Linked DNA regions of Daphnia pulex. The protein of the gene in region 2 interacts with the protein of the main gene of each other region in a pairwise test. Links are inferred from orthologs where the notes say so. Each region holds a gene or a part of one and is shown on either strand. Other genes may lie near its edges.

Evidence for each region. The genes of interacting proteins can lie anywhere in the genome.
Region 1: the proteins of B-cell lymphoma/leukemia 11A-like (region 2) and nuclear receptor subfamily 2 group E member 1-like interact in a two-hybrid assay, tested with the Homo sapiens proteins (2 studies listed by BioGRID). The link is inferred for Daphnia pulex from reciprocal best matches to the Homo sapiens genes BCL11A and NR2E1.

What each region holds. Positions count from the first base shown.
Region 1 is NC_060019.1:13,052,338-13,056,388, reverse strand, and holds nuclear receptor subfamily 2 group E member 1-like, read right to left. Parts: upstream 2,801-4,051; 5' UTR 2,616-2,800; coding exon 2,549-2,615; intron 2,476-2,548; coding exon 2,375-2,475; intron 2,253-2,374; coding exon 2,117-2,252; intron 2,049-2,116; coding exon 1,606-2,048; intron 1,176-1,605; coding exon 719-1,175; intron 653-718; coding exon 408-652; 3' UTR 151-407; downstream 1-150. UniProt on the Homo sapiens protein: Orphan receptor that binds DNA as a monomer to hormone response elements (HRE) containing an extended core motif half-site sequence 5'-AAGGTCA-3' in which the 5' flanking nucleotides participate in determining receptor specificity.
Region 2 is NC_060022.1:6,798,394-6,801,893, forward strand, and holds part of B-cell lymphoma/leukemia 11A-like, read left to right. Parts: intron 1-2,043; coding exon 2,044-3,500. UniProt on the Homo sapiens protein: Transcription factor. Associated with the BAF SWI/SNF chromatin remodeling complex. Binds to the 5'-TGACCA-3' sequence motif in regulatory regions of target genes, including a distal promoter of the HBG1 hemoglobin subunit gamma-1 gene.

The sequences.
Region 1 (4,051 bases), on a different chromosome or scaffold from region 2:
CATCAACCACCACATCATTCACGGAAGGGGGGAGTGATTCAATTCAATTCAAACTTTTTTCTTTTGGGAAAAAAAAGTTGTCGGCCATTTGCGGTGAGTCAATGGACATATGGCGGCGTTTCTTCTCGGCAAACATGACGTGGAGGCTTTAAATGGGAATAACTTGTATTGAAGAGAGTTTGAAATGAAACAATCAAATACACACAACTGGCAAATGGGACCCCAAAAAAAAATGCTGGACGCTATTTCTGAGCAAATGACAAAAATATCAAAAACGGTTTTCTCTGATTTCCTGATTTTTTTAAATTTAAATTTCTTTGTACAAGTTTGTACAACATGGCAGGGTAAATTACATAAACGGTTAATTATTAGGTGAAACACAATGTTTTTAAAGGCATTTTTCTGTTTTACAAATCACCAGACTTGTACATGTCGCTGATGATGCGCTCGATGGGGATGTTGCCGATCGTCTTGCGGAAAAACAATTCTTCGATCGTCGAAGGAGCGATGGTGCGCAGAGCGGGCAGGAGGAGCAAAAGACGGCCGAAGCGGAGCGGCTGGTTCGGGTAGGCCGTCGAAACGTAACGGCTCAGCGTCAACTGGGCCTGGTCTTGCAAATTGACGGCGGATGGAATATCTCGTAATCCAGCAGCTATTAGAATTAAAAAGAAAAAATGAGTTTCGAGAATTCTAATGAAATAAAAAAAAATGAACTTACAGGTTTTGAAGAGAATGACGGCGCGGAGACAAGCGTATTCGGTGGCGTCGACGTTCATTTGTTTGAACTTGGCCACCGTTTCCTGGAAGGCCTTGATTTCGCTGAGGAGGCCTAACTGGCGCTCGGTGCTGACGGCCGGCATTGTGGGCGGGCAGGGCATGCCACTCAGACCGAAAGGTGAGCTGCTGAGGCCTAGCGCCGTCATCAACGTGCCAGCTTCGATGGGCAGCGTGAATTGAGCGGCGCCCAGGACAAACAGTTCCCTCCAGCTCTCCTCCAACAAGATGATTTGGTCGCGGGATGGCAGGGTCGTGAAAGCTGGCACGCTCTTGGCCCATCGCACGTTCATGAAAAGCAAACGGGCAGCTGATTCGCAAATGGTTTCGGGACTAAAGTTCCACGGCATCATGGCGGCGGCGGCAGCGGCCGGAACGGCGTTGAACATTTCATGTGGATACTGCAAAAATAGAAATGGTTAATTCAACTATCCAATCGAATAAAAGAAGATTCCCCCAAGAAATGCTCATTAGCCGAGAATAATAATAATCAGAAAACGACTTCAATTAGATAAGCCTATCGGATTAAAAGCTGGAAAAGTAAAAAAACAATGACCAAAAGTAGAATGGAAATAGAAACAACTGTGTGACTTTTTGGTAATCTCAGGTGAGGTCAAATTCCCAATCGACCTTGCGTCAGGTATGTGAAAAAGTCAGTGGCCCATTTTAGTTTGAGAAAATTCCAAAAGAAAAAGTTCTTTGTTGTTTCTTTAACCCTGTCCATTGCAAATTTGTTGATCTCTTCTCTACTTTTGTTTGGCTAATCCAATCCCACAGTTAATTGCGACTATTCCCAGAATTGTGTGGTGAAATAAAGAGATGATGATGTACCTTGGGCTGAGGAGCGCACAAGAGGTTCATGGGCCGGGCTGCGTGATGAGACAACAGGGACATGGACATCCTTTCGGCCAGGGTCAAGTGATGGGACAGGTGGTGGTGGTGGTGGTCGGCCGTTGGGCAGTTGAGCAAACTGGACGGAGGTGAAGATGAGACGCTGAGGACCGTGTTGCTGGTCGGCGTCGAAGTGGCCGGTGGCGAAAAGGCGCCCATTTGCTGCGGACGGAACATGGGGATCGAAGTGGACGACGACGGGGGCGTAGTCATTCCCGACGGCATCAACGGGCTAGCCCGACCGGTCGACGGTGGCGGACTGTCGGCGTCGGCCGATCCGTTGTTGTTTTCCGGCGACGACGAAGTCGATCCTTTCATCGAGTAGAACATGGACATTTGGCGGCGCAGAGTCGAGTTCCTTGGTCCGCGTTCGTGTTGAACGGCTAAATATGAAGAGAAATTAATTAATTAACATTCCAGTTGATTGGCTGATGATGTGTAATTCACTTACCATCTTTGTTCATTCCAACTTCAACGCATTTGCGGAGTCGGCAGGCCCGGCATTGGTTGCGGTGGGTCTTATCAACCAAACAGGCCCCCTCACTCTTGGCCTTGCAAACGTACTGGCGATTCCGGCGAATGGAACGCTATATGATGGAATAGAAGAAGAAGAGAAAACAAGTCAACAATCTGGTCCCACAACGCACTGGCAACAATGTCAAAAACAAGAAACTTTTGCGGAAAAATGATGTTGTGTCCATCAACGTACCTTGAAGAATCCGGCGCATCCATCGCAAGCAAAGATGCCGTAATGTTTGCCAGAGGAATGATCCTGGCACACTCTGCACGGAATATCGTACAGGATCCGGCCTGAAGGAGAAAAACCAAAATTTTTAAATTTCCTCAATTTCTGGCGGATTGGCAAGAAATGTTGTGAACTTACTGGACGGAGTTGAGTTGGAGCTCTTTTGGCTGAGACGGAGATCCATGTCGACTGGTGAGGACTTCATTGGTCGAAACTTTCACGAAATGTAAAAACCGGAAAAATCCGCAAAAATCTTTTCTTGGTTGTGAGAGAAGAGAAAACACACAAAAGTCCGGAAGAGATGAGGTCGTTGAGAGGAAACACGAGAGACGACCTGACTCGCTGGGCAGATGGTTGGCAACTGTTGAAAAGTGGACCGAGATTTGGGCCTTTTGACGTCGGGCGAGTCCCGTCAAGTCACAGCCCAGGGTGGGGGTAGAAAAATACGTACATAGGCAATGGGTGTGCTATAGGGTGAGAGGGGGGGTTACAAAGGAGATGGAAAGGGAGTGGGTAGGGGGGGTTTGGAGGGGGTGACCTTTGATCCGCCCAGTCAACCCAAAAGGGCTTCTTCCATTTGGCCGTCAGGCCTTACTCTTTGCCCGCCCTCTCGCCCATCCTTTGGCAGCCAGGAGGACAAATCAAATCCCATGGCTCTTCTTCTTTGCCACCAGCAAGTCATGGCTTTCCTTTACTTTTTTGACCATCCACAGCAGTCGTTGCCATTGACACACATTTTTGCCTCTTTGCCATTTCTTTTCTTCACTGGAAATCAACAGCAGAAGCAAAAGAAGTCGCCTCCTTCCAAGAAAAATGGCAAAACGACTTGGGACCGCCTATTTGATTGCAGACGAAATCAAATAATGACATTTCATTGATCGATAACTTGTTGCAATCATATCGTTAATCATCCAAATAGTCGAGAGGGGAATGATCCTTCATATGGTTTATTTATATTTACGAATTTCCGTTTCATTATTTTTAAGTCTATCTAGGGTCTTATTGTGGGGATTTCGGTCAACAATAATACAATAATTTATGTAGTTCGTTCAAGTTACTCGGTTAACTCTTTCAATCATTTTTAACTATCGATATCTTAGACAATGGCTAATTAGAATATTGGCGCGTCTGCATTCGTCAACACGTTTCGAAATCAGGCAGTTTCGATGGTTTCAACAAAGGAAATGGAACAGTAACTTTTTTGGAAACGTGGCTGCACCAAAAATAGCAAGGCAAATGAAATTACAATTAATGTGGTGGTCGCGTCTGGTCGTTTCAATTCTGGTCGCGTCTCAATAGAATCGCTTGTTACATCGTCGATGCGGTCTATGCTGTTTAGCAGGTGAATCAAATTAAAATTGCAAATAGTATGATAATGTAAACTTAAATAGAATAGTTAGACCGGTTCAAATTTTGTGAAATGTGAGTTCCTAACTTAAATTCCATCATGTAAGCCCCCTGTCGATCCATGGTTGTTTGTTTGCTGTTACATAACCTTTTCCTTTGTGCAGATTTGCCAGACATCGTTAACCAACAAGATGTTCAAGTTTGTGTTGGTATTAACCTGGCATCAGCAGTAATGTTACTACCACTGCTAGGATAATGATTTGTGTTTCTTTTATACCTCCGACCTGCTAGATA
Region 2 (3,500 bases):
CAGTCAAGTGATTCATCGGCCGACTCCGATACATTTTTTCAGCTGCATTTATTTGATGAGGAAAAAGAGAGGCGCTGGATGGGAAACAACAACGGCAACAAAACAATCGTCGTGTATATTCGTCGGGGTCTAGATAACTAGCTAGCCCCGTAGACATGCTAGCCGTCCATCACGGCCGGGAGCTTTTATCTCTCGATCGACGACGATCGAATACATCTTCATGTTGCACACATGAGAAAGTTTAAGGGGAGAGAGAGAGAGAGAGAGAGACGGAATGAATAGAGAGGATCGTGATTTGTGTTCTTATAGCCCTTCGTTGTTTGACTTTTGTTTATCCTCCTTCGTCCGAGAAACAATACAAAAGAAAACAATAAATAAATAAGAGAAGGAAAACAAATTTCGAACTCGAGGGTAAATGAATGCTTAACACTCGTCTCGGAAAAGATATAAAGAGGAACGACAATGAGCAGAAGGAAATTGGAGAGAGAGAGAGAGAGAGAGAGAGAGAACCAACATCCACGACATGCCGAGATAATCAGTATCGTGATGTGAATATATTTCAAAGGAGGAGGATACAAGTACGTGGAAGTCTGGAACTTGAAAGAAAAAGAGGAATGCCGATCATGTAAATACCCCGTTTCATGGATGTTTCCTTTCTTTTTATGAAGCGATCCAACAACACAATAGGCCTATCCCTGGATCATACGTAATATGCCACAGATGATCACTGTAATTTAACAGCACGAAAAAAGCGTGTTGTCTGCCAGTTTAATTGTTGTCCTTTTTGATTCCCTGACATTAGTTCAAACAAGAAATGAAATATCTAATTTTTACGAAGTCCCAATGACAAAATAATTTTTTTTTGTATGAGAAAATGAACCTGTGCAGATTATAGTCTGTTTGACCGATCCATAACTGCTGTATAGCTGCAACTCGGATGTTGTTGTTTTTTTGGAGTTGATGCTACAGCTGCCTGGGTCTTTTTCTCCGGTCGCGACATCTTGCACCCACTGTGACACACATGCACAAAATTGAACCGTATAGCTCATTTTCGAACAGAGAATAGGGATTTCTTTCTTTCTCGTTTTTTCCCATTTTTTTGTGTGTGGTTCGAACCTTTATTATCTCTAGCGGTTATTCATCCACCTCAAAAAAGTAAAGGTTTTTACGCGGTAGGCTGCACATTTCCAGCTTCCCCCTTTTCAGCTGGGGAGCCCTCGAATCCCGTTAACCCTCCGCGTCCCTTCTTGCCCGCTTGTAATATCGCACAGTCTCCTTATCGTTTTTTGTGTGCATGCGTGTTGTTGTTGTCCATCTTTCACCCCTTTCCACACGTGTTTTTGATGTGTTCTCGTACGCATATCGTCCTAATTCTTCCTCTCTCCCACCCGGTGTGTGTGTGTGTGTGTGGTGTTGGAACAAGGACGTGGTTGACGAACGGTACAAGGAGGAGCCCCTCCTTTTTATTTTTCATTCGACTTGCATCTGCTTCCCTACATTATGTGTGGGTGAGGGTGAAGAAGAAGGAGGGGGTGACACAAAAAACTCGTGTTTACGTCAGTTCTACATATATAACGGATCTAATGTATAAAGAGTAGAAAAAAGAGGGAAATAGAGAGAGAACCAGATCCTCTTTCCTATAAATGCAAAACAAAATAGGAAAGAAAAAACAACATACGTAGCTGCTACAGTTGTGTACGTTTCCAACCCTTTTGCACCGTACACTGTATTATACCATATATGTAGATACATAATATAGAATACCGTTATACCCATGTCGCATTTTGTATTCCATATTCCATAAACGTATTGCATCCCCCCCACTCCCCTCTCTCCGGATTTTACTTGAAATGAAAAATCCAACATAATGCCCAACATTATTCAGGCTTTGGTTTTTTTTATTATTGTAATCGAGACTGTATTGTAAACGGAATTTGCGTGTTCCACACCGATTAGCTATTGATAGTTAAAAGCTTCGATTTATGTATATAAAGAAGATCAAATCTAACAAATTTTCTTTGTCTGTTTTGTTCTTTTATATAGAACCGGCCTCGTACGTCTGTTCTACATGCCAGCGACGTTTCCGCAGCGCTTGGATTCTGCTGCAACATGTCCAGAACGACCACGGTGTCCGGATCTACGTGCCGGACGGCTGCGGCGATTGGTCTGAACGTTCGGGAGCCACTGGCTACTCGTCGTCGTCGTCGTCCAACCACAAGAAATGCCCGACGCCTTTGTCGCCGCACGCTGCCGCCTCAGCTCACCATCACCACCACCACCAACAGCAGCTGCAGCAGCAGCAGCACCAGCACCAACAGGCCCATTCGGCCCATCATCTGCACGGCCTCAACCCAGCGTCGTTTGCCCCTCTGGCCGCCGCGTTGGCCAACCACCACCGCTCGACAGAGTCGGCGTCGTCGGGATCGGGTCAACGACTCACCAATTCGACGCCGCACTCGGTGGCCTCTCTGGCCGCTTCGTCGATGACCTCATCGATGCAACATCTGCCCTTCCCGTTACCTCACACGCGTCTGCCGCCTTCTTCGTCCAACAACAGCAGTGGCACCAGTAGTCATTCAGCGCGGACGTGCGGAAGCGGATCCACATCCGTCAACATGTCTGCCCACTTGCCATCGCCCGTTTCATTCCCCATGCTTCTCTCCGGCCTTGGCCAGCACTCGCACCAAATTTCGGCCGGATTGGATCCGCACATGCCGTTCGGTCTCTTGCGGCTGCCACTCGGCGAGCGACACTCGTTTGGCGCCTCTCTCAATGCCCAGCCGGCCGGCTATCCTCCGCGACCGTCTAGTCACGATCTGCTCCTCCGTGGTGGAGGAGGAGGAGGAGGAGGAAACGTGGGCGGTTCGTCCGCTAGCGCCGCCAGCGCCGAAAGCTTGATGCCTGAACACTTTCGTGCCGGGCTTCACGGGCTGTCGAGCCTGAATTCGTCCGGAATCTCATTCCCACCGCCGATCCAGGAATCTTTCGTCGGAGAGAGACCCACTCCTCCGGCCACCACTCCTTCAACGCCTCCCACCACCACGACGGCCACCTCCGTTTCAGCGGCGGCTCCCAGCATTCCGTCGACTGCAGCCAAAGATTCGGCCGATTTTTATTCACAGCGACTGCGCCAACTGGCCGGTAACGGACCTGAAAGTCCCAAAGCCAACGGACCTTCTTCCCGGTCCCGCTCCCCATCGCCCAGCTCGGCTAAAATGACGACGGCCAGCCCGCTCACGTCGCCAGTCGAGTCCAAGGCCAAGTCAGGGGACAACTCGACGCCGACGAGACCTTCGTTGCCGGCCACTGCAGGTGAGCCAGCCACCGAGGAATCCTTCTCGACGTCCAGCCCCAAATCCAGCGGAGACGTGCTAAGAGCATCGAGTCCGGCCGTGCGCGAACAACCAATGACGATGAAATGCTCAACTTGCGATTTCCGCTGTGCCACAACCATTGAACTGCGGCGGCACATCAGGACGCACCGTCGCATCCAGCGCGGC